Macaca mulatta: one gene and its partners. The protein of the gene in region 3 interacts with the protein of the main gene of each other region in a pairwise test. Links are inferred from orthologs where the notes say so. Each region holds a gene or a part of one and is shown on either strand. Other genes may lie near its edges.

What was found.
Region 1: the proteins of PTPN11 (region 3) and RPIA interact in binary tests that used the Homo sapiens proteins (3 or more experiments, as listed by UniProt). The two-hybrid records come from large-scale screens. The link is inferred for Macaca mulatta from reciprocal best matches to the Homo sapiens genes PTPN11 and RPIA.
Region 2: the proteins of PTPN11 (region 3) and TLK1 interact in binary tests that used the Homo sapiens proteins (3 or more experiments, as listed by UniProt). The link is inferred for Macaca mulatta from reciprocal best matches to the Homo sapiens genes PTPN11 and TLK1.
Region 4: the proteins of PTPN11 (region 3) and GAB2 interact in binary tests that used the Homo sapiens proteins (3 or more experiments, as listed by UniProt). The link is inferred for Macaca mulatta from reciprocal best matches to the Homo sapiens genes PTPN11 and GAB2.
Region 5: the proteins of PTPN11 (region 3) and TRIM32 interact in binary tests that used the Homo sapiens proteins (3 or more experiments, as listed by UniProt). The link is inferred for Macaca mulatta from reciprocal best matches to the Homo sapiens genes PTPN11 and TRIM32.
Region 6: the proteins of PTPN11 (region 3) and IGF1R interact in binary tests that used the Homo sapiens proteins (3 or more experiments, as listed by UniProt). The link is inferred for Macaca mulatta from reciprocal best matches to the Homo sapiens genes PTPN11 and IGF1R.

What each region holds. Positions count from the first base shown.
Region 1 is NC_133418.1:25,423,322-25,427,611, reverse strand, and holds the start of RPIA (ribose-5-phosphate isomerase), read left to right. Parts: upstream 1-1,490; 5' UTR 1,491-1,516; coding exon 1,517-1,801; intron 1,802-4,290. UniProt on the Homo sapiens protein: Catalyzes the reversible conversion of ribose-5-phosphate to ribulose 5-phosphate and participates in the first step of the non-oxidative branch of the pentose phosphate pathway.
Region 2 is NC_133417.1:75,961,108-75,964,607, forward strand, and holds part of TLK1 (serine/threonine-protein kinase tousled-like 1), read right to left. Parts: intron 2,886-3,500; coding exon 2,794-2,885; intron 2,712-2,793; coding exon 2,622-2,711; intron 2,465-2,621; coding exon 2,295-2,464; intron 2,109-2,294; coding exon 1,973-2,108; intron 1-1,972. UniProt on the Homo sapiens protein: Rapidly and transiently inhibited by phosphorylation following the generation of DNA double-stranded breaks during S-phase. This is cell cycle checkpoint and ATM-pathway dependent and appears to regulate processes involved in chromatin assembly.
Region 3 is NC_133416.1:119,689,569-119,693,068, reverse strand, and holds part of PTPN11 (tyrosine-protein phosphatase non-receptor type 11), read right to left. Parts: intron 862-3,500; coding exon 667-861; intron 1-666. UniProt on the Homo sapiens protein: Acts downstream of various receptor and cytoplasmic protein tyrosine kinases to participate in the signal transduction from the cell surface to the nucleus. Positively regulates MAPK signal transduction pathway. Dephosphorylates GAB1, ARHGAP35 and EGFR.
Region 4 is NC_133419.1:78,650,759-78,654,258, reverse strand, and holds part of GAB2 (GRB2-associated-binding protein 2), read left to right. Parts: intron 1-363; coding exon 364-458; intron 459-1,889; coding exon 1,890-2,154; intron 2,155-3,349; coding exon 3,350-3,440; intron 3,441-3,500. UniProt on the Homo sapiens protein: Adapter protein which acts downstream of several membrane receptors including cytokine, antigen, hormone, cell matrix and growth factor receptors to regulate multiple signaling pathways.
Region 5 is NC_133420.1:41,594,681-41,598,973, forward strand, and holds the start of TRIM32 (E3 ubiquitin-protein ligase TRIM32), read right to left. Parts: upstream 2,801-4,293; 5' UTR 2,720-2,800; coding exon 758-2,719; 3' UTR 1-757. UniProt on the Homo sapiens protein: E3 ubiquitin ligase that plays a role in various biological processes including neural stem cell differentiation, innate immunity, inflammatory resonse and autophagy.
Region 6 is NC_133412.1:89,165,284-89,168,783, reverse strand, and holds part of IGF1R (insulin-like growth factor 1 receptor precursor), read right to left. Parts: intron 659-3,500; coding exon 375-658; intron 1-374. UniProt on the Homo sapiens protein: Receptor tyrosine kinase which mediates actions of insulin-like growth factor 1 (IGF1). Binds IGF1 with high affinity and IGF2 and insulin (INS) with a lower affinity. The activated IGF1R is involved in cell growth and survival control.

The DNA of each region.
Region 1 (4,290 bases), on a different chromosome or scaffold from region 3:
AAGGAAATGAATGATGGATGGAAGTTCTGTAATGGAAATACAACCATGGGCAAAGTGATAGAGGAGGGGTGGGTAGGAAACCCAATTTAGATGAGGTGGTCACTTAGACTTCTTTGAGAAGGTGGTATTTCAGCTGAGTCAGAAGGGTAGATGGAGCAAGCAGTGCATAGATGGCCAGGCTGGCAGGTAGAGCATTTAAAATGGTTCAAAGGTCCTCAGGCCAGGGGTGACGGGGTAAAGCAGAGACTAGCTACCATTTGCTTCATCAATCTTTTGGTGTGGGTGCCGAGGAGCATGAATAAGGTGAAAGACTGCTCCTAAGGAGATACATTAAAGGTGACACATTTGCCTACAGTAGCCTTCAACTTTGCAGACCAACAGTAATGGGAGTCCAGTCATACGCTTCTGCATGTTAGCCAGAACCTTCTGCTATGTTCTGAATTTGGCCTAAATTGAAGGATTCAAATATCATCTCAAACAACTTTTCCTCCTACAGACAAAGGTGAAGATTCAGGAGCTCACAGCCTCAGGGGGCAAAGCACAGATAAGAAAATCCAGGTGATAAGCGGCAGTTAACAGTGGCCCATACCAGGGACTTGCGCTCACAGAAGAGTTTTGAAGGCCTGGAATGCGTTTGAAGATGAGTTCATGAGCAGACAGAAAGGATTCCACTAACAGCGGAGAAACGCAAAGGTCATGTGTTTTTAGGGACCTCCAAGTGGTCGGTAAGGTTGGGGTCAGTATTAGTTTCTTTGCCTGTAAAATGGGGACAATAAGAATTCCTCGTCCCTTAACTATTCTCCACAGCAAGAAACCTTAAAGGTAGAGAAGAAAAGATAAATCTGTTTTCACAGTAAGTCCTTGTTAGTCACCAAAGATTGCAGGATCGCAGCAGGGCACACTCATCTGTACAGAACCAGTCTCCAAATGGGCGGTGCAAGGTGCAGCTCCACCTGCTCCACCACTAGGTGCAGAAGAATGTCTACGGCAGGGAGTTCTCAACTTGTGACCTTGGGTCTGCGGGGGTCTAGATGGACTTCAGCTGGCGCCCGTGTCGCATGTGAGTTTCCTGGGTAGTAGTAACCCCAAAAGGGCCGCGACGTCTACAGAAGTGCCACTACTTGGAATTCTCGTCCATGGCCACGTTCTCACTGCTGGGAGAAACAACAGGGTCAGGTCTAACACTCCTTTCTCGGATGCATGGGCGAACAGAAATATCCCTGGCCTTCACCTAATCGTGCCCTGAGAACACTTCCCCCGGGTAAGCAGTCACCACACTGATACTCCCACAGAGCGAAGTGCCGGAGCCCGTCGCCGGCGATTGCGCATCTCGTCGCGGAGAGCATTATGGGGTTGGTAGTCCAGACTGAGGCGCAGATAGCGGTCCTCGAAGCCATAGAACCACACTTCCCAGCAGGGCCCGCGCAGCAGGGCACGCAGAGTGTGTGCGTAAGCGACCAGATTTCCGGGGGAGCCGGGGGCGGGACTTCAGCGGAGGCCGGAGCGAGGTGTCGGGATGCAGCGCCCCGGGCCCTTCAGCACCCTCTACGGGCGGGTCTTGGCCCCGCTGCCCGGGAGGGCCGGGGGCGCGGCCTCTGGCGGAGGAGGGAACAGCTGGGACCTCCCGGGTTCCCACGTGCGGCTGCCGGGGCGTGCACAGTCCGGGACCCGTGGCGGTGCTGGCAACACAAGCACCAGCTGCGGGGACTCCAGCAGCATCTGCCCGGCCCCCTCCACGATGTCCAAAGCCGAGGAGGCCAAGAAGCTGGCGGGCCGCGCGGCCGTGGAGAACCACGTGAGGGTGAGCACCTGGGGACGTGGGGCGCGGGAAGCATGTCCTCGGCGTGTTGGGCTCCTGTTGCGCTTTCTGGGTGCTGCCGAGGCGCGCCTACCTCCTGGCAGGGCGGGGGCTGAGTGAGAGGGTAGAGAGTGTGCATTTTACCCGAGTTTAGACCCCTCTTCCTTGCTCTTTAGAGACCTTTTAGATGTGGAATCGGTTGGGGGCGAATCTTCTAATATTTGAGGTTTCGAAAGACTCCTTGTCTAGCTGGAACAGTTTGCAAAGTGGAGCCTGGTGTTGTCTCATGTTTGGAATGGGGGCTAGAGGCACTTGCCTTGTGGTCTCCTTATCAATAAATGGAAAATGGTGGGCTTTGGGACTGCGGAGAGGTTTTCATTTCTCGTTACTGACCCGGAAGCCGGCGGAGAGTTGGTTTGCTAGTGCTTTGAAATTTCAGTCGAATGTGGTTCTGGGCTTGGTGCGCGCCGGCCCCTGAGTGAACTCCTGGAGGGAAGGGAAGACCGGGACTTCAAACTTCCTTCTTTCCATAGGGCGGGGTGGACTAAGTCTGGAGGATGCTGGTTTATTTTTTAAGGCGGGGCTGCAGAGATGTTTAGCTGTTATTCGGCCAGGTCGTGGTCCCTACTTGTTTGTTAAGTGGCATGGTGCTGTTAGTGGAGTTTTTTTTTTTTTTTTTTTGATCCAGGTGGTTTTGCTGTCAGCAATCAAGTTAATTATCTTATTTGTAATAAGGAAGCCAAGTAGAGTATGTCTGCCCTGTGGTGTAGTTTCCTTGGTCTTACTGGTTTTTTATTTCTCATTTCTACTTATTAGAAAGTGGTATTAGAGTCTCTTTTCTTCTCTGATAATAGTTCTTTACATTTGTTAATGCTTTACTCAACAAAATTATTTTGCTTAGATGATGTTTGATGAGCTTCACCACAGCGTGTTTGAGTGGGAGTGGACAGTGTGGTAACCTGTGGCTCAGCCAGTTCTGTGGGAGGGATGTTCCAGTGTTCCCTTCTACCCTTTCCACTGCTACCCTGTTCTGGTGTAGCCTGTTGCAAGTCTGATTGGCAATAGGATTTTCTATGGGGATTAACAGAGATAATGTAAAATGTGTTAATTTGACCCTACCGTTGAGATTCAGTGCCTCAGTTGTAAAAGTGAGACAATAAGCTGAAATTTCAAAATGTCTGCATAAAGTGAATAGCTAATAGTTAAATGTAATCCGCATGAGAATACAATTAGAAAAGCACCGTATCTAAGTTGTTCAGTTAATGAATTTATGTTAATATTTGGTGGCACATCTCCCTGACCTTTGTGTTATAGTTATGTATTTGATTAAATAAAAATCTTCAGGCCCTGACCTTAGGCTAGAGCCCCAAAACACTGGATTCTGACCACATTTCATGAAGTTAGGCGATTTTGGGGAGATCTACAGTGACCTTTTGGGGGCACCTGTTAAAGGCATATATGCCCTTCAGGGTTTGGCTTAAAGTCCATTTCCTCCTTTCAGTTTTTCCTTAGCGTCCTAAGGAGAGGAAGAATTCTTTTCCGCGATTCTGTAGCACTTCACGCCTCTTATGTGCTTTATGTTGTATCTTATATTTTGGTCATCTGTGTGTTCATTTCTTCCAGCCCCTTAAACGGTAAGCTCCTGGAGGGCAGTTAACTTTCATTTAGCATTGGTCACAATGGGGCCTGCCCAGTACATGTATGTTCAATTGTGTGCAGTGTGGACACAAATATGAAAGTGTTGGGGTTATTGGAGGTTCTTTGTGTAGAATCTCTGGCGAGTAGGGCTTCCTGTTCCCTAGTCCATTGGAGTTCCAATATGTCGACCACTTCCATGTCTGGGTGGATGGAAAACATGGAGAGTTCTCAGGTGAATCCTTTGTATAGCCACCCTGGGCCCAGCTCTGTCTGTTTCTGGGGGTGTAGCTACCCAGGATGGGCCGCCATTCAGAACTAGGCTCTTCTGAACGTCTGTAGCCTCATCCCTTTGTTCTCTTTGGAGCCTAGGCTTTGTTTTTTTGACTGGCTTGGTTGAGGAAGCTGATGGGCGGTGGTTCTAGTTGGTTAGCAGAAGTAGTATTTCCAGAGTTACTCCATTTGACAAGCTGAGGGAAGTTCTGATGTTGCATATACGTGTGGTTTAATATTGCCCATTAGAATGGGGCCACTCCTCTAGCAGGGCCTGCTTGGCAGTCTTCTGCTGTTGGGCCACCTCATAGGCAGCCTTTGGTCACCTCTGGTTGGCTTTGGCAAAGACACTGATTCCTGGGCCAGTCATTTGATTCCAAGGCAGCAGGGATCACATGGTTGAAGAGCTTTAGGCCTGGCAGGGCCTTGCAATTCCTGGTCTCTTCCAAAAGGCAAAGAAGGAACCTTACACAGAGCTTGTCTGATTCATCCGAATTCACCTCTGTGCCACCTGCCTGCTGGGGACTGTGAGTGACCTGAATGTATGGCTAAGCTTGGTAACCAGGAATCTGGTGATTGAATGA
Region 2 (3,500 bases), on a different chromosome or scaffold from region 3:
TCAAACTCCTGACCTCAAGTGATCCGCCCACCTCAGTCTCCCAGAGTGCTGGGATTACAGGCGTGAGCCACCACCTCCAGCCAAATTTTTCAATATTTTTAGGCCACATGGTTCGTCAGTGAGATTTTTCAAATTGTTGCAAATCTCCAAAAAATTTTCCAATGTATTTATCGAAAAAAAAAGCCACATAAAAGTGGACCCATGCATTTCAAATCCATTTTATTCAAGGTCAGCTGTACATAGCTAAACAACTAATATGACTGTAGACATAAACCAATTTTTGGACCACAGATTTCCCTGAGAAATACATTCCATGTCCTTATATAACAATGCCATCATTGTATCTCCTTCCAGTACAGACCCTAAAACATAAGGTCTTTGTCTCTTGACTATCTGTAAAAGGGAAATTTCCTTGTCCTTCCCTATACTAGTGAAGCCAGAGTGAGAGAGAAACAAATATTGAGAATGTCCTGTAGAGGAAGAATAATTTATTATTTAGAACATGGTTTTCAAGCTATCTTCCATGGAATCTAAGAATCTACCAGGATGCTTTGTTTTTGTTGGTTTTGTTGATTAGAGTAAGATTTTGTTGTTAAAAAAAAAAAAGAGCCTTGTTGCTAAAAAAGTCCAAAGACTTTGAGAATATTGACTTTCAGGGGGTTAGCAGTTTGAATAGTTTTCTTAAAATATGAATAAAAAATTCATGACATTCTTATCTTATCCATGTTCCTAGGAAATGCCACAAGCCAAATTTAAAATTTTAAAGTGGCTTTAAAAGAATACACGAATATGACTAATCCCTGCTCATTAAAAGTGGTATCTATACAGACCAGCGGCATCATGTGTAACTGGTTATGATGTGCTCAGGCTGTGTGAACACTGTTCTGGAAAACCTGAGGTCACATTTATGTTCGTAGTCACAATCCCGTTTCAATGAACTTGAACGCAGTTATCTTTCTTCCCATTAAAATGTCACTGTTTATGCTAATTTTCTCTGAGAATTAAGTTTGTTCTGAAATTTTATAGTTTATGTTCTCCACTCTGGTGAATTTAACAAGTTTGAAAATTCACGCTGAAGCAGTTTCTGTGAACATGTAGGTATACTGAGGGGGATGACAGTCATTTAGATTTGTATCTATGAATCTGTGATTATATCTAAATTTAAATCTATACATACTAAGTCTTTAAAAGGGATTTCTGAAAGTCAAGTCCAAAGAATATGTCAAATTTATCTCCCATTCACAACCAACAAAACATCCATCTTCCACAAAAACCACCAGGCAGGTGCAGTGGCTCATGCCTCTAATCCAAGCACTTTGGGAGAGGCAGATCACTTGATACTAGGAGTTCAAGACCAGCCTGGGCAACAAATTAAGACCTTGTCTCTACAAAAAATTTAGATTAGCTGGGCATAGTGGTGCGTACCTGTGGTCTCAGTTACTCAAGAGTAAGTGGGCGGATTGCTTGAGCCTAGGAGTTTGAGGCTGCAGTGAACTAAGATTATACCACTGCACTCCAGCCTGGGTGATAGGGCAAGACCCTGTCTCAAAATAAAACGAAAATCCCTGCAACCATATAACCTCCACAGAGAGGGCTTGATGCTTGCAGTTTTTGCTTGCAATAGTTAAAATATTATATTAACGTACGTATTCATATTTATGATAAACATCACCTTAACATTGTAGAAGAAAACCCATGAATGAATTCTTCCTGTTAGGAGTTTCTGACTGGCAGGTACTGAAGTCACTTGTTAATGCCAAGTCATTCTCTCTCCAGTATGCTGTTATTTGCAGTAAGAACAGATGAGAAGAGGAATGACCACAGAAGTCTCCCTCTCAACTGAGAGTTTAATATCAGTACCTTTTACCACAGTAATCTTAATGGCCACATGGAAAAAAAAAAAACCTAAATTTTATCATAAAAGCACTGGGCACTAATCTAGACATTCTGATGTTTTTAGTAATATACTTACCAGTAAGTGCCTGCCCCCTGAGAAGTTAGATCCATTCCATCTACACCATAGCTATCATCATCCATAATCTTGGACAGACCAAAATCAGTGATTTTGATTTCACCACATGCTGTTCCATCTACCAGTAGGATGTTTCCTAAGAATAAAATATAAGATTATTTTAATGATACATAGATGAAAAACATAACTTTAGTAACTTTAAATTTTACTAGTATTCTACTGATGTCTTAAAAGTGAAACCAAAAATCATGTTTTCAGATAACTTAATGACTTTAAAAAACTATACTCGTTTTAAAAAAAATTAGACAAATTTCATAATTACCTGGCTTAAGATCATAATGTATAATAGGGGGTTTGATCTCATTGAGATATCTTAGTGCATTTACAATCTGCATTACAATAGACCTAGCTTCTTTCTCTGACATTAACTTGTGTTGCTTCAGATAGAAATCCAAGTCATTGCCTTCACAGTATTCTAACACTGTACAAAACCTACAACAGAGAAGAGAAAAGAAATTAGACATAAGTATTATCCAAGAATTCAGAATCACAATGGGGAAATGGAGAGTATTTATATCATCAACACAGGATGGGGAAAGACAGAGTAAGCATATCCTTCCTTAAAAATTAAACCTTAATATTCACTTACGTATCTGTATCCAAGGAGAAATAATCATAGAGTTTAACTATTCTGGGGTGATCCAGTTCTTTATGTATTCTATACTCTCTGCAGGCATGTCTACAGGAAGACAGTGTATTAATTCTCCATGACCATTCAAAAAATATTCAATTAAAAAAAACCATAAAGTATTAGTATTTACTTGTGGTAGTTTTCTTTCTTCTCATCTCTCCAGCTTTTATTAAGCTGATGTATCTTCACAGCAGCATATCTTTGTTCATATAGGTCAAAAGCCTAGGATTTCAAGTCAAACACAATTAAGATGAAAGACCAACTGAATACCTGAAGAGATGTTTTTTATTTTGGTGATAATTTTTGCAATAATATGGAACTAGGACAAACCCTACAATTATTAATTATCTTCTCTGCTAAGACTATATATAGTTCAATGACACTTTTATTATCAGAAGACAAAAATTCCATGGTAATAAATCAGAAAAAACCTTAATGTGAATTTTCACATTAAATTTTATAAATGCCAATATACTGAATAGAAATAAAACAATAAAGCTATTATTGGTTTTTAATATGGATTTATTCCTCTATACTGGTAGTAAGCAGCCAGGAAAACAGACTGTACCACTTTTTTTTAGGTCGGATAAAACCTCTTAAATCTATCTTTTCCTAGCAATGCCCTACTTCTTTTTCACTTTTTAGAAAAATTAAATAGTTCCTAACAGTTATTTTTCCAACTGTTGAAAAAAAATTCTACAGTTATTATAAAACTGTTCAAACATATACAAAAGTAGACTACTATAGTAGTCTACCACCCAGTTACGCCCCACCACCCAGTTTCAAAAATTATCAATATTTTGCCATTCTTGTTTCATCTATTCCCTACTACCCTTG
Region 3 (3,500 bases):
TATACAAACTAAGAGATCCTGAATTTGCACCAAGTCAGAGAGGAGACTGGGAGTGTACAAAACAAATACAATCAATAAATAAGTCAAGCCCATGCTTTCATCAGGCTAGTTCCAATACAGGGGGACAGATCTTGAAAATAACACAATTCTCTCTAAGTAAGGTCACTCTCACATAATTGTGGAGATAACATTAAAAGAATTGATGAAAAAGCTGACCCTCTGAGCTCTCTGCTTTTCCACTTCTGAGCTTAAACTGACATCTGTTGGTGGCACTGCTGAATAACTGGTCGAGAGCCACCATAGAAAACTGCTGCTATTTTGGTGTCTCCATTATCATTTGTTTTCTTCTAATAACTCTCAAAGATTATCCGCCAAAGTTCAATAAGTCTTAAAACTAATACATGTAACCAAGTATATGCAGGAATGCTATGCAATCCCCATAGGATGAGTGTAAGTAACACTGATTAAAACTTTTGCAAGAAAAAGGTACTCTGAAAATAATTTGATGCTATTAGTCTCACTTTAATAATTCTTTAAAGATTACAGCTCAAAAAACAGTCACAAGCCTTTGGAGTCAGAAAGTCATACACAGACCTCAGTCATGCATTTCTGACACATAGGGCACAAGGGAGCAGCAGACTTTGTGGTCACTAAAATGTTACTGACCTTTCAGAGGTAGGATCTGCACAGTTCAGAGGATATTTAAGCTCAATAACATCTCCATTCTTCTCTTTTAATTGCCCGTGATGTTCCATGTAATACTGGACCAACTCTGCCAAAGTGGCAAATTTCTCCCCTCCATACAGGTCATAGTAATCACCAGTGTTCTGAATCTTGATGTGGGTGACAGCTCCATTTCTTCTAAAATAGTCCATTGGAAAGGGAGGCAAGGGGACAAATAACGAGTTACACCAGTAAAATCAGATCTCATGTTCCACGTCAGACTTCATCTAAATGTTGAAAGAAACCCAAGAAACGAATTTACCCATTCCCTATAAGAAATATGATGGGTGAAATAACCACATAATCAACCAACTCAACACAAAGGTCTTTTTGTTTACCTTGCATATGTTTGCTCTTGTTGCCCAGGCTGGAGTGCAATGGCGTGATCTTGCCTCACTGCAACCTTCGCCTCCCAGGTTCAAGCAATTCTCCTGCCTCAGCCTCCTGAGAAGCTGGGATTACAGGAATGCGCCACCACGCTCGGCTAATTTTGTATTTTTAGTAGAGATGGGGCTTCTCCATTTTGGTCAGGCTGGTTTCAAATTCCTAACCTCAGGTGATCCACCCACCTCAGGTGATCCTCCCAAAGTGCTGGGATTACAGGCGTGAGCCACCACGCCCGACCTATCTGGTATATCTTCTATTTTGAAAGACTGGCCTATCGAATTGCATATATTAAGTAACAATAACTGAATAGCTACCAAAAACCATTTTGCTTTTTAATCATAAAAATGTATAAACAAATTGTGTTACATTACTATTCATACAATGGAATACTATGCATTGCAAAAATTGCTGTTACTATTCATGCAATGGGATACCATGCAGCAATTTGTTTGTTTTGTTTGTTTGTTTGCTTTTTTGTTTTTGAGACAGAGTCTCACTCTGTCGCCCAGGCTGGAGTACAGTGGCACAATCTCGGCTCACTGCAAGCTCCACGTCCCAGGTTCACGCCCTTCTCCTGCTTCAGCCTCTCAAGTAGCTGGGACTACAGGTGCCCGCCACCATGCCAGGCTAATTTTTTTTGTATTTTTAGTAGAGACAGGGTTTCACCCTGTTCGCCAGGATGGTATCCGTCTCCTGACCTCGTGATCTGCCCACCTCTGCCTCCCGAAGTGCTGGGATTACAGGCATGAGCCACCGTGCCGGGCTACTATGCAGCAATTAAAAAAAAAAAAAAAAAAAGATAGCCAGGCACAGTGGCTCACGTCTGTAATCCCAGCATTTTGGGAGGCTGAGGTGAGAGGATCACCTGAGGTCAGGAGTTCGAGACCAGCCTGGCCAACACGGTGAAACCCCGTCCCTACTAAAAATACAAAAATTAGCCAGGCGTGGTGGCGGGCACCTATAATCCCACCTACTGGGGAGGCTGAGGCAGGAGAATTGCTTTAACCTGGGAGGCAGAGGTTGCGGTGAGCTGAGATCACGCCACTGCACTCCAGCCTGGGCAACAAGAGTGAAACTCTGACTCAAAAAAAATAAAAATAAAAATAAAAAGACACATGTAATTTTAAAGACACATGTAATGACACAGTTTTGAATATGAGGTAGTGTTATCCCAAAGCACAAAACAATATATGCAAAAGGTTACTACATTCATGGAGGCATTATGTATCATTTTAAAATACTGGACACAACTAAATCGCTACCTGCTGGTGACAGTATATAGAAGTTATGAAATATTCACATGATAGAATGCTATCCAGCTGATTAAAAAGATGAGAGAGATCACTAAAAGATTTAGGTAAGTGAAAAAAAATTACAAAGAAATATATTTAATGTTCTACTTGATGTGTAAAAATAAAAGGAAAATAGTAATAAAAATATAAATTTGCTTATTTTTGTAAAAAGAAACATAGGGCTGGGCATGGTGGCTCATGCCTATAATCCCAGCACTTTGGGAGGCCGAGGCAGGCAGATCCCTTGAGGTCAAGAGTTTGAGATTAGCCTGGACAACATGGTGAAACCCCATCCCTACTAAAAATACAAAAATTAGCTGGGCACGGTGGTGTAATCCCAACTACTTAGGTGGCTGCGTCATCAAAATCACTTGAACCCAGGAGGCGGAGGTTGCAGGGAGCTAAGATTGTGCCACTACACTCCAGTCTGGGCAACAGAGCAAGATTGTCTCAAAAAAAAAAAAAAAAAAAAGAAAGAAAAAGAATGAAAGAAACACATAAGAATAAACAAGAAATTAATAGAAATGGCTACCTACAGGATGGAGATAGTGTGGTACAAAGGAGTAGGAGTAAGAATGAGATTTCTCAGGCCAGGCGCGATAGCTCACGCCTGTTACCCCAGCACTTTGGGAGGCCAGGCAGGTGGATCACTTTAAGTCAGGAGGTCAGGACCAGCCTGGCCAACATGGTAAAACCTAGTCTCTACAAAAAAATACAAAAATTAACCGGGCATGGTGGCACATGCCTGTAATCCTAGCTACTCAGGAGGCAGAGGCAGGAGAACTGCTTGAACCCAGGAGGCTGAGGTTGCAGTGACCCAAGATTGTGGCCACTGCACTCCAGCCTAGGCGAAAGAGCGAGACTTTGTCTCAAAAAAAAAAAAAAGTCAGGCATGGTAGCTCATGCCTGTAATTCCAGCACTTTGGGAGGCCAAGACAGGTGGATCACCTGAGGTCAGGAGTTTGAGACCAGCCTGGTCAACACGGTGAAACCCCATCTCTACTAAAAATACAAAAATTAGCTGGGCATGGTGGAACACACCTGTAATCCCAGCTACTCTGGAGGCTGAGGCGGGAGAATGGCTTGAACCCAGGAGGC
Region 4 (3,500 bases), on a different chromosome or scaffold from region 3:
GGGAAAATAAAACCAACACATATAAATCAGGACAAGTATTGTTACTGTGGTATTCAGAGAAGTGATGGCTGGGGTGAGTGGGACAGGTGAGTGCTATAGGAGTCAAAGGAGAGGTGCATAGATGAGGGTAGAGTAGTCAAGGATGGCTTCTCTGCAGATGCTAACATTGGAGCTACATCTAGAAGCCCAGGAGGATTTTTGAACTGAGGAGTGATGTGTTCGAAGAAATTCCTTATCATTTGGGGTTGAGAGTGGTATCTTCTGGAGTATCAGTAAGACCTTGAACCACACTGGTGAGGGTATGGGGAAGTGTCAACACATGAATCAACCATGAGTACATACGGATCCTCCTTCCTCTGTCAGCTTCTTCCTGTGAGACCTACGAGTACCCACAGCGTGGTGGAGAGAGTGCAGGCCGGTCTGCTGAATCCATGAGTGATGGAGTCGGCTCTTTACTGGTGAGTGTGGGTTAACCAGGGGTCCTCAGGCAGGCCTGGTTAGGTAAAAGGCCACACCTTATGGAACTAAAAGCACAACCCCAAAAAAGTGATGGCATCTCCATCTTAAGACCCTGCCCAAGTTCTTGTCTCAGTTCAGAACCCTGCGTTGAGTCTTTGGACAAGTAAGATACAAGTATTCTAGTCCGGAAGAAATGTATGTGCTAAGGTAGACTGGATTACAAGGTTCACCAACCTTATAGGTAAGCAGAGGGTCTAGAATGCAATAGACCCAGGCTGCACGGTGGGGGATCTTCTAAGGCAACAACCTTACCCACATGGCCTCACATATAGGAGGGAGGCTGCAGTGTGAGACTCCAGGCAAGGGTAGTACTCACAGTCATGCTAAGTGGCAGAATTATGGCTTGAGAGCAGGATCCCAGGCTGCCCTCTGGAAGATGCTAACACAGTTCTCCAACGTGTCAGGCAAGAAAACCAAGGCCTGGCTTCAGGCCCACTGGAAAGACAGTGAAATCAGGTAACCAAGGCAGAAGCAGCTTAGTTGTATGTCAGGGCACGTAGAACAAGAGTTAGAAGAAGGCTATAGCTTAGGGTGCTGTATTGCACAACTCTGTAGAAGCTCCAACTGCAGCTTGGTGGTCCCCTAGGTGCCTGGAGTGAGCCCCAGGTACTTAGGAACCTGGACTGGGGAAACACAACTGGCCCCAGACCTCACCTTTCAGAGCCAGGACTCCTAATATGCTCCTTGTTCTGATCCAGGGCCCGAGATGCTGACCTGCCAATGGTGAGTCTGGACTTGAGGTGGAGGGCAGGTCCTGAACCAAACCTACAGTCTATGGACTATGCTACCCACGGTGTTGGTCAGGCATCCAGAAAGCCAAGTGGACCCAGTCACCAAGAATATTTTATACTCTAGATTTATCAAAAATTATTGGTGGATGCCAAAGGATCATGAAGGCTTGAAGGGGCCCACAGACCTCATATATTCTTGTCTCCCACTCTGCTTCCTTTTATTTTTTATTTTTTGAAACAGAATCTCGCTCTGTCACCCAGGCTGGAGTGCAGTGGTGTGATCTTGGCTCACTACAACCTCAGCCTCCCAGCTTCAAGCGATTCTCGTGTCTCAGCCTCCTGAGTGGCTGGGATTACAAGCATATGTCACCACGCCCAGCTAATGCTTTGTATTTTTAGTAGAGAGGAAGTTTCGCCTTGTTGGCCAAGCTGGTTTCGAACTCCTCACCTCAAGTGATCCAACTGCCTTAACCTCCCACTACTCTGCTTTCTTATTTGGTCTCCCCAGGGTCTCCCTTACAGCTTCAAAGTGTAGCTAACCCAGTCATGACTTGTCTTGCCTAGTTTACAAAGTCTTACCTACTTCCTGTTTCTTCTTGCTAGTAACAGCTGTATTTCTTTCACTGTTCCTCTCCCTAGCCAGGGAAAATGACTGTGGGCCGATCAGACAGCACCAATTCTGAAGACAACTATGTGCCCATGAACCCAGGTTCTTCCACCCTGTTGGCCATGGAACGAGCAGGTGATAATTCCCAGAGCGTCTACATCCCAATGAGCCCAGGGGCCCATCACTTTGACTCACTTGGCTACCCATCAACAACCCTTCCTATGCACCGAGGCCCCAGCAGAGGAAGTGAGATCCAGCCACCCCCTGTCAACCGCAACCTCAAACCTGATCGGAAAGGTAAGTCCATTCTTTCCCCTGTCCCATCTCTGGACAATAGCTAGGGACTCTTTCCATTTGCTTAGGGGTCATGTGGATCCTTGGGATGTGTGACTTTGGGCAAATCATGTAAATTCTGAGTCTCAGTTTTCTTATCTGTGAAATGAAGATGGTAATTCCTACCTTCCAGGTTTGCTGTGAAGGAGAGCATCTAGGATAGTACTTTGGTACACAGCAGGCATTCAGTAAAGTCAGGTTTGTGCTCCCTGCATGTAGACCAGGCAAGTTACCAGTCTGCTGTGATCTCAAACTCTCCTGATCTTGGATTAGTGGCAAGGATTCAAAGGGAGGAGTAGGATAGCTGGGCAGAGATAGCCCCCTGTGGGTCTGACCAACAGGGAATTCAAATCTTAGCATGTGAAACTGAAGCCCTCAGGCCCTTGTGGCATCTACCTTCCTCCACTGTGGCTTGCACAGACCTGGCCAGGAGCAGCAGAGAGTAGTCACAGTGACCATCTCCACTTCAAATATGGTCTCTTGGCTGGGTGCCATGGCTCATGCCTGTAACCCCAACACTTTGGGAGGCTGAGGCGAGTGGATCACCTGAGGTCAGGAGTTTGAGACCAGCCTGGCCAAAACAGTGAAACTCCGTCTCTACTAAAAATGCAAAAATTAGCCAAGCGTGGTGGCAGGCTCCTGTAGTCCCAGCTACTAGGGAGGCTGAGGCAGGAGGATCAGTTGAACCCAGGAGGCAGAGGTTGCAGTGAGCTGAGATTGCACCACTGCACTGCAGCCTGAGCAACACAGCGAGACCCTGTCTCAAAGAAAATATATGTAAATATATATGTATATATAAATATATATTAATATCTGTATTATATATAAATATATCTTTATATATAGTCTCTTATTTTTAAATGAAGTCATAAATCGAGGGAGAAGAATCTGTTGTCAAACCCTGTGTCCTCATTTTTGATTCTGAAAATATAATTACCGTAGATACAGCAGAAAGAATATTTAATTTGGAGTCTGAAGACATGACTTCAAGGCCCATCAATATGGGCAAAGATTATATAACCTCGCTGAGCATCAGTTTCCCTGTGTGAAACTGGAATGACTTTGCAGGCCTTTATAAACATGCTCATGTGTTATATATAAGTTGTGTATGTGTAGCATTATTACTGGCTGATTACCAGACTTTCTTTTCCTGCTCCAGCAAAGCCAACACCACTTGACCTGAGAAACAACACTGTCATCGATGAACTCCCCTTCAAGTCACCTATCACCAAGTCTTGGTCTAGGGCCAGGTGAGTGCCTATGTGTGGGGGTGGGAGCTTGGAGTCAGCCCATTAGAGAAGATGAGTGAA
Region 5 (4,293 bases), on a different chromosome or scaffold from region 3:
TAGCTTCCTATGCTTTGGCATAATTCCAATCCATATTATGCTTCTTTAAAAGGCAAGCAATTTCCAGGCTGAAGTCGTCAATACCAACCAACTAGGGTCAATCCATTCTGTCACATCTGCAGTTCTCAATCCAAGATGGCACAGATCCTCCAGGCGAGAGGTACTGCTTCCTAAAGGGCCTGTGTATCCCCTTTGGTAGCACTAAATGAATGAGCTTTCACACTGGTAAAGACGATCAGACTGAGACATAATGTTACAGGAATATGTCTGAAATGTCACTGAAAGGTGGAGCATATCCCACTGAAGCATGCACAGTGAATCCAATCAGAGTTGAAGAGAAAGTGTCACAGATGAAGCACATTGTAATAGGAAGGAAACAATGGATCAAGGGCATCAGAGCCAAACGGGAAAAAATCAAGGATTTAATACAAGGGCACATTTCAAACATGGCACAAAGGGCTAAAGTGGCTCTCTCTACTAAAGCCTTGGAAGTGCCTAATTGCTAATCAAACTTCAGCTAACACCATTGCGTGTCCTATTTGGGCAGTGCATCTTTTAAAGCTCTAAATTTAGGTGGGAAGTGGGGAGGGGAAAATAACAAATAAAAAACATAAAAAGATGGAGCTTCTAAAGTTCTAGAACTACCCAGCTGGAATCAGGACATATGCCGAGTCTATTCTCTATGTGCCACTAACAACCAAGAACTATGGGAAGGGAAGCTGGCTTGGGAGCAGAAGAAAATGATATTTCTCATCCCCTATGGGGTGGAGTATCTTCTCAGATGGTAGCTGTAGATCTTGATGCAATGATCCCAACAGTCCAAGACCAGCAGCTGCCCCTTAGGAGTGAGGGCTATGCCCACCGGACAAGTAAGTCCCTCTCGAATAAGGACACTATAGCCCCCACCCTTAGGAAAATGGAGAATTTCCTTGCGACTACTGTCAGCCACAATGAGATCACCACGAGCATCCACACACATGCCAGCAATGCAGCGGAAATCCTCATTCTCCGAGAAGAAGTGGCTAATCTGGCGACCCAGCTGCCCATCGGGACCTACAGAACCAATGGAAAAGCCACCTTCCAGGTGGTGCTCATTCTGTCGATTCTCCAGATTGAGGCCTAAGCCCTGGGTGAAGTAGACGGTGCCCTCAGCATCACAGGTGACAAATTTGGGCCGCACAGCACTGCACAGGCAGCTGTATTTGACCACCCCTGATCCTCGATCAACTGTGAAACACCAAAGCTTTCCACCTTCCACATCAGTTACTACAAACTGGCCAGATGGCAGGGCTGTGATACCCCATGGTTTGCTCAGCTGGCTCCTGTGACAGGCCACACAGTGGCCATCCAAGGTATATACCTTGAGGGAGTTATCATAGCTGTCAGTCACACCAATCAGCCCCTGGCAGTTCATTGCCACTGAGAGAGGAGTGAGGTTGGGTAGATCCGCCCCAAGAAAGCTTAGCACAAAGCTATCAATGCCACTGGGGCTGCGGCGGATTTCCTTCAAAAAGCCTTTGCGGGTAAAGACTTGTATACGATAGTTACCACGGTCAGCAACTAGCACTTCACCTTGACTGGTCACGTAGAGACTGACTGGTAGATTGAACATTCCTGGAGTGCTGCCTTTGGCCCCCATCTTCTTGAGAAAGAGGCACTGCTGGATATTGGAGGCTGCCTCAGGACCCCGCTGTTTAGCAGGTGAGGCCCTAGGGCTGGCAACCACTTCCTCCGGGCTCATGTCCATCTCTCTAAATGTAACAGAGGTAGAAGCAGCAGAGGCTGCCGCCTCCATGGCCCAGGAATCTTCCATGTTAACTGTCCGGGGCTTCTTAACAGCTTGCCCAATTTGGAGGGGGCCAACATGACCTACCTTAAGGAGCTCCACATCTTGCAGGGTGAGCTCCCGAGGTAAGCTGGCAGTAAGCTCTGGCTCCTCCTCATCAGCTGTCTCCTCCAGGAGTGCTACATCTGCTTGCTTGATCTTGGCCAGGAAGTAGTCACAGCGAGACACAGCCTGCACCTCTGCAATGTTAAGAAGGTAACTCTGCTCCTCTACCACTTGACTATTGGACTTCTCAACTTCAGCCAAAGAGCCTGTGAAGAATTTCCGAGAGCGAGCCAGCTCATCCTGGACCCTGCGTTCCTCGTGTCCATACTCCTGGAGAACTGCTTTATACCTTGCCTGAAGGTCCTTGGAGACACCTTCCAAGGCTACCTTCCGCCGCTGCAGCTCCCCCATAAGTTCCCGCAGACGAGTCAACTTCTCTCCAAAGTCCCGACGCCGCTCCTCAGCGGCTTCTTTGACAGGGAGTGTACAGTGGCCAGGAGGCTGATGGTCTGCCTCCCGGCAGGGCTCACATAACACCAAACCACAGCTCCGGCAGAACTGCCGGGGCAGACGCCGCCCACAGGACCGACACATGAGCAGCCCCACAGCCTCGCTGAGCCCAGCTGTATCAATGATCTTTAGCACTGTCAGATTGTCTGTCAGCTGGGTCAAGCTGGTTATGCGGGTAATCTTGCTGCAAAAGGGACAGCGGACACCATTGATGCTACTGGCCAATAGCTTCTCCAGGCACTGGCGGCAGATGGTATGGCCACAGTGCAGGAGCTTGGGACGCAGCTGCTCTTCTGTGAAGGACTCCATGCAGATGGGGCATTCTAGCACTTCCCGGAGGGCATCCAGGTTCAGGTGAGAAGCTGCTGCTGCAGCCATTGCTATTCCTTTGAAGGGTACTGCTAGCACAGCTCAGAACTGAACAGCACAGTATTCATGCCCTAGAGGGTAAAATTCCTGCTAAAGAGAAAAAGAAACCATTATTCATTTTCCTCTGATTATATAAATCAATTCACTCAAGAAACATTTAGAGAATAGCTATGATCAGTCGTTCAGTCATTCACTTACTTAACTATTTTATTGAGGTCTATTATGTGTCATGTGAGGGTGACAGGGAAACAAACAAGACAAAACACTGCATAGAGGGTAATAATTCAGATTCTGGAATCTCAGACACTTACTTAGTTGCATGACCATAAGGAAGTAACTCAAACTTCCAAAAGCTCTTTCCCCATCACTCATCTGTAAAATAGAAAAATGGTGTCTACCTTATTCTATTATTGTAGAACAATCTATTATTGTAGAATAATGGTTATTGTAAGGGCTAAATAACAAGATAAATATGATGTGCTTAGTATATAGCACCAGGGAAGTAGTATACTTTAATAAATGCTAATGATTACTTTCATATTTGGTGAGTTTTACAACTTACAGTTTACACTAACAGAAAAGCACAGGAGAATTACGCACAGTAAAAGGAGTAAGTGTGACATGCAGGTCCACATAATGTTCTGCTGGAGTACAGTGGATGGAATGATAGATTCCACCTAACAGACTTGGGGAAGGCTTCCCAAAAGCAGTTTCACTCCTAAGATAAAGAAATGAAGGACTGAGGGATAAAGGTACTTTAAGCAAAGAAAACCATGTAAGCAAAAGTGTGGAGGCTGTTTTTTTTTTTTTCATCATGTCATAGAGTTTACTGTGTCATGTTTGGGGCCCTAGGAATCATCCACAGACTTAGAAAATTGTGATGATTAGCTTTAGGTAATCTGCAAAACATTAGATCAGAAAATACACATTTTCCATGCATCTATCCTCCTACCTACTCATCTATCCACCCATCTAAGTTTAGGTATCTTGTTCTGTACTAGATACAAGAGGTCTTCAGGATACAGATCCTGCTCTTCAGATATTCAAACTTTATAAAAGACAAGACATGTAGGCAAATAATAATGAAGGCAGAAAGTAGTACTATAAATGAAATAAAAACTAAGTTTGATGGGGGTTGAGGAGTCATTCTAATTTGAAGGGACACAGAATTTTCAAAAGGAAGATGACATTTTATATTGGCCTGGAAAGAAGCATAAACACACGGAGAGGGAAGAAAGGAGGCGGCAAAAGGCACAACCTTAACAAAGTTTAAAAGGCAAAGGAAAGGACAAGAAGTTTCATGTATTAGGAAGAAAACAGAGAATATTTAAAATCTATGCATTTTATTTTCTCCATCTTTAAAATAATAATTTTTAAAATAATAAAGACAGTGGAAATAATACTGTCTTTACAGAGTTAATGTAAGAATTAAATAATCTATAGAGTATATAGAATGCTAAGATTTGGCTCTGCACAAAAAAAGCCTTAAATGAATTTTAGTTCTCTTTTTTATTATCCTTAGATTAAAACAGTGGGAGTATATATGGGGAATAGAGTAACAGGCTTGGAAAGGTAAATTGGGG
Region 6 (3,500 bases), on a different chromosome or scaffold from region 3:
ATCTCTGAATATGTCAGAGCTCGGGGTTGGGGGGGGGCCCCGCAACCCGATTTGTGCACAAGAGGGGCAAAAGACAGTGGGAGTGCACGATGTGCACCGAGTAGCAGGTGGAGGGCGGACCATGCAGACAGCTCCCTGCTCCCAGCATGTTCCACGGAGAGACCAGGCTGGGAGTGGTGTCACTAGGAAAGCATGAGCTCTATTCCCTAGGCAGCTGGTCTACTACGCCACCTGCCAATGATCGCACGTTATTTAGCAGGCAGACCTCAGTCTAAGGGTTGTGGCCCTGGGTGTCAGACCCTTTGTCCATAAAACACATCTTCTCCACTAGGTTGTGAGGAAGGTGGCAATGGGGCCACCCGGATATACCGTACCTGCAGGCATAGTCCTTGCAAAGACAAAGTTGGAGGCGCTGCAGCCCAGTTTCTCAGCCTCGTGGTTGCAGCTGTGGATATCAATGCGGTACAATGTGAAAGGCCGAAGGTTAGAAATGACAGTTCTCTCCTTATTATCCACTCTGCTCTCAAAGAAAGGGTACTCTGTCTCTAGCTCTTCCAGATCTGTGATGTTGTAGGTGTCTGCCACCGTGGTGTTCCTGCTTCGGCTGGACATGGTGGTGTTGGCCACTTGCATGACATCTCTCCGCTTCCTTTCAGGTCTGCAAGGAAGAGATAAATGTGGCTTTTAAGTGCTTTTACCTCTTTCGTCTTTTCTATGACTTGAGTAAGAGTAACAGAAGAATCTTAACCATGGAATAGAAGGAGCTATTCAGCCCCCTTGGATAAGAACGCATGAATAACACGGGGATGTCCTTCCTCATTATCTTGCTTTTTCTACTATGCAAGTGTCAGAATGGGCACACAAACTCTCACCCCCACCCCCTGGCTCTCAGAGTGGTTCTTCGATTTTACCTAGAGGCAAACAGTGTCTCTGCCATTCTTGGCCAGGCAGTCCTGGCTGTGTCATCAGAACACTCAAGCCATCTGGTCACAGACCTTACGGTTAAGCATTAAAGGTGGCAAACCTACCAGCTGCGCTAAGATTTATTAGGGCAGGAGGGGAGAGGTGAGGTGTGTGGCAGAGGCCCCAGAGACCTGGGGCAGAGGGATATGAAAGCCTATGGTGGTGGCTCCTTGGATCTGCTCTGACTGTGGAAATAAAGATGCCTGGAGCCTAGCAACCCACGGACCTCAGGTCTCTTCTTGGGGGCTTCTGCTGCGGGCCCACCCCCAACCCCAAGCATCTGTGCTTGCTACACTCTGCAGGTCCCTGAAGCCCACCCAGGCCTCCTCCCAACTCAGCAGTGAGCACCTGTGGCCTCACCAAGGTCCTGCCCACGAGAGGGCAGAGTCTTTGTCATGGATTTGAATGGAGACTGGAACAACCAAAAAGCAAAAGGGAGTGCATAAAGTCATCACAAAGAGGACATTCACACCGAAAAGGGCAGATGAGGCATGAGGATGTGACCCTCTAATTGCTGCTTTGGTCAAATACGAAAAAATGGGCTTTGTGGCTCCCCCTAGAAACCTTAAAACAGAATCCTAATGTTTACAGGAACCAACAAAAACAAACAGAATACGAGAGGAGCACCCAGATGGAGAAAGGGCAACCCTCAGGTCAGCCACGGACCAATGGTGAGAAAACAGGGCTGAGGCCTTTGGCTGGGGTCACTGGTCTTAGGAATAGGCAAAAGGCAGGGAGTAAATGGGATGAATTCCATCTGCCCAGGGAAATGAGAAAGTCCAGAACATGGGAAGCTCATCAGTGCCATGGAGGGGAGAGCGGCAGCAGCAGCAGACAGGGAAAGCTCACACAGGGAACGGAGCAGCCCAGAAGCCACTTGCAGGTTTGGCTGACGCTCGGCAGGTTTCTGGCTGGTCCTTAGGCCAGAACCTGGGAAGGGGAGAGCAGGGGGCTTGGGGAAAGGGCCTCTGGCTCCCTAGTCTTCTCAGCCCATGGATTCCCCTGAGGAAAACATGGTCCTTCTTTGTGTAGTGGCACATGGGGGTCCCACCAAAGGCATAAACTGCCCAACACAGACAGGTTCATTCCAACAAGCAGAAAACCACAAGGTCAGGGCATGTACATTTGCTTTCACAATACTGGGGGAGGAAGGGTAAGGACATGAGGCTGATTATCCACAATCCTCACACTCTGCAAACCAACCAACCAGCTAACCAAGCTTCCTGGAAGGGAAAAACACAAGAAACCACATTTACTGCCACAGAAATCTTTGTCAACACATCAACAAATTTCCAGCCCTTCCTTCAAAACCAACACAATATACACATGTGTCTGTCAGAAGTTGCTTAGGTTTGATGCACTGCAAAATAATTCTGTGTCAAAACCCCTCTCCTAGCCCGGCCACCACGTTTAACAGGGATTACATCATTAAGTATACTCAGTAGTTTACTTGTTTATCAACACCACACTTTTAGGGATTGCACAGCTCTCAATGCTGATGACATCAAGGCAGTGACAAGGGGAGGGAGGTGACACAGAACATTATCTGGAAGGCAGGAACAGGGGAAGCACAATGGCCCATACATCATTTTTTGGTAAACAACTACATTTCCAAATCGTGTGCCCAACAGCAAACATTACTGCCAACTTTCCCCGCTCCACCCCATGATACAACCTAGCCCTATTGGAAAACCTTTTACTTTCCAACATCTGTCAACATTTTAGCTAGTTAAACCAAACTATGTGATTTACAAAATAAAGACAGTAGTCAAAGAAAGGCATTTACTGCCAAATACTGACTTCAGAAACTGGTTTTACAAACTCTAGCTTCCACTCTACTTCAAAACATACAGGATATTCTGGACAATTTATAAGGAACTAAATCTTACTTAACTGGTTTTATCCCACAAATAAATTATTCTCAGAATGAATTGAAAGAAATCAAATCTGTTTTCGGACATTTCACTTGTAAGATAGAAAGCCAGCCTTTATGATTCAATCATATTGTCAGCTGGACACTCCTTCACCCAACTCCGCCAGAACTCAGTAGGAGGCAAAAAACAAACATTAACTTCTTATAAAGCATGGCCTCTCACCATGAACAAAATATTGTCTTTATATACATCCATGGAAAGGAGAATCATAAGTTGGACTTGTCTTAGGAGAGAGAAAGGAAGGACTGGGGGGACAGATAAACACACTTCTCAAGTGGAATAGAGGAAACTTGTTTTGAACCCACCACCACCAATGCTGTGCATTAATAACATCAGTGCCAATCGCGGCTCTGCCTTCACACATCACATAATCTTTTTTTTTTTTTTTTGAGACGGAGTCTCGCTCTGTCGCCCAGGCTGGAGTGCAGTGGCCGGATCTCAGCTCACTGCAAGCTCCGCCTCCCGGGTTCACGCCATTCTCCGGCCTCAGCCTCCCGAGTAGCTGGGACTACAGGCGCCCACCACCTCGCCCGGCTAGTTTTTTGTATTTCTTAATAGAGACGGGATTTCACCGTGTTAGCCAGGATGGTTTCGATCTCCTGA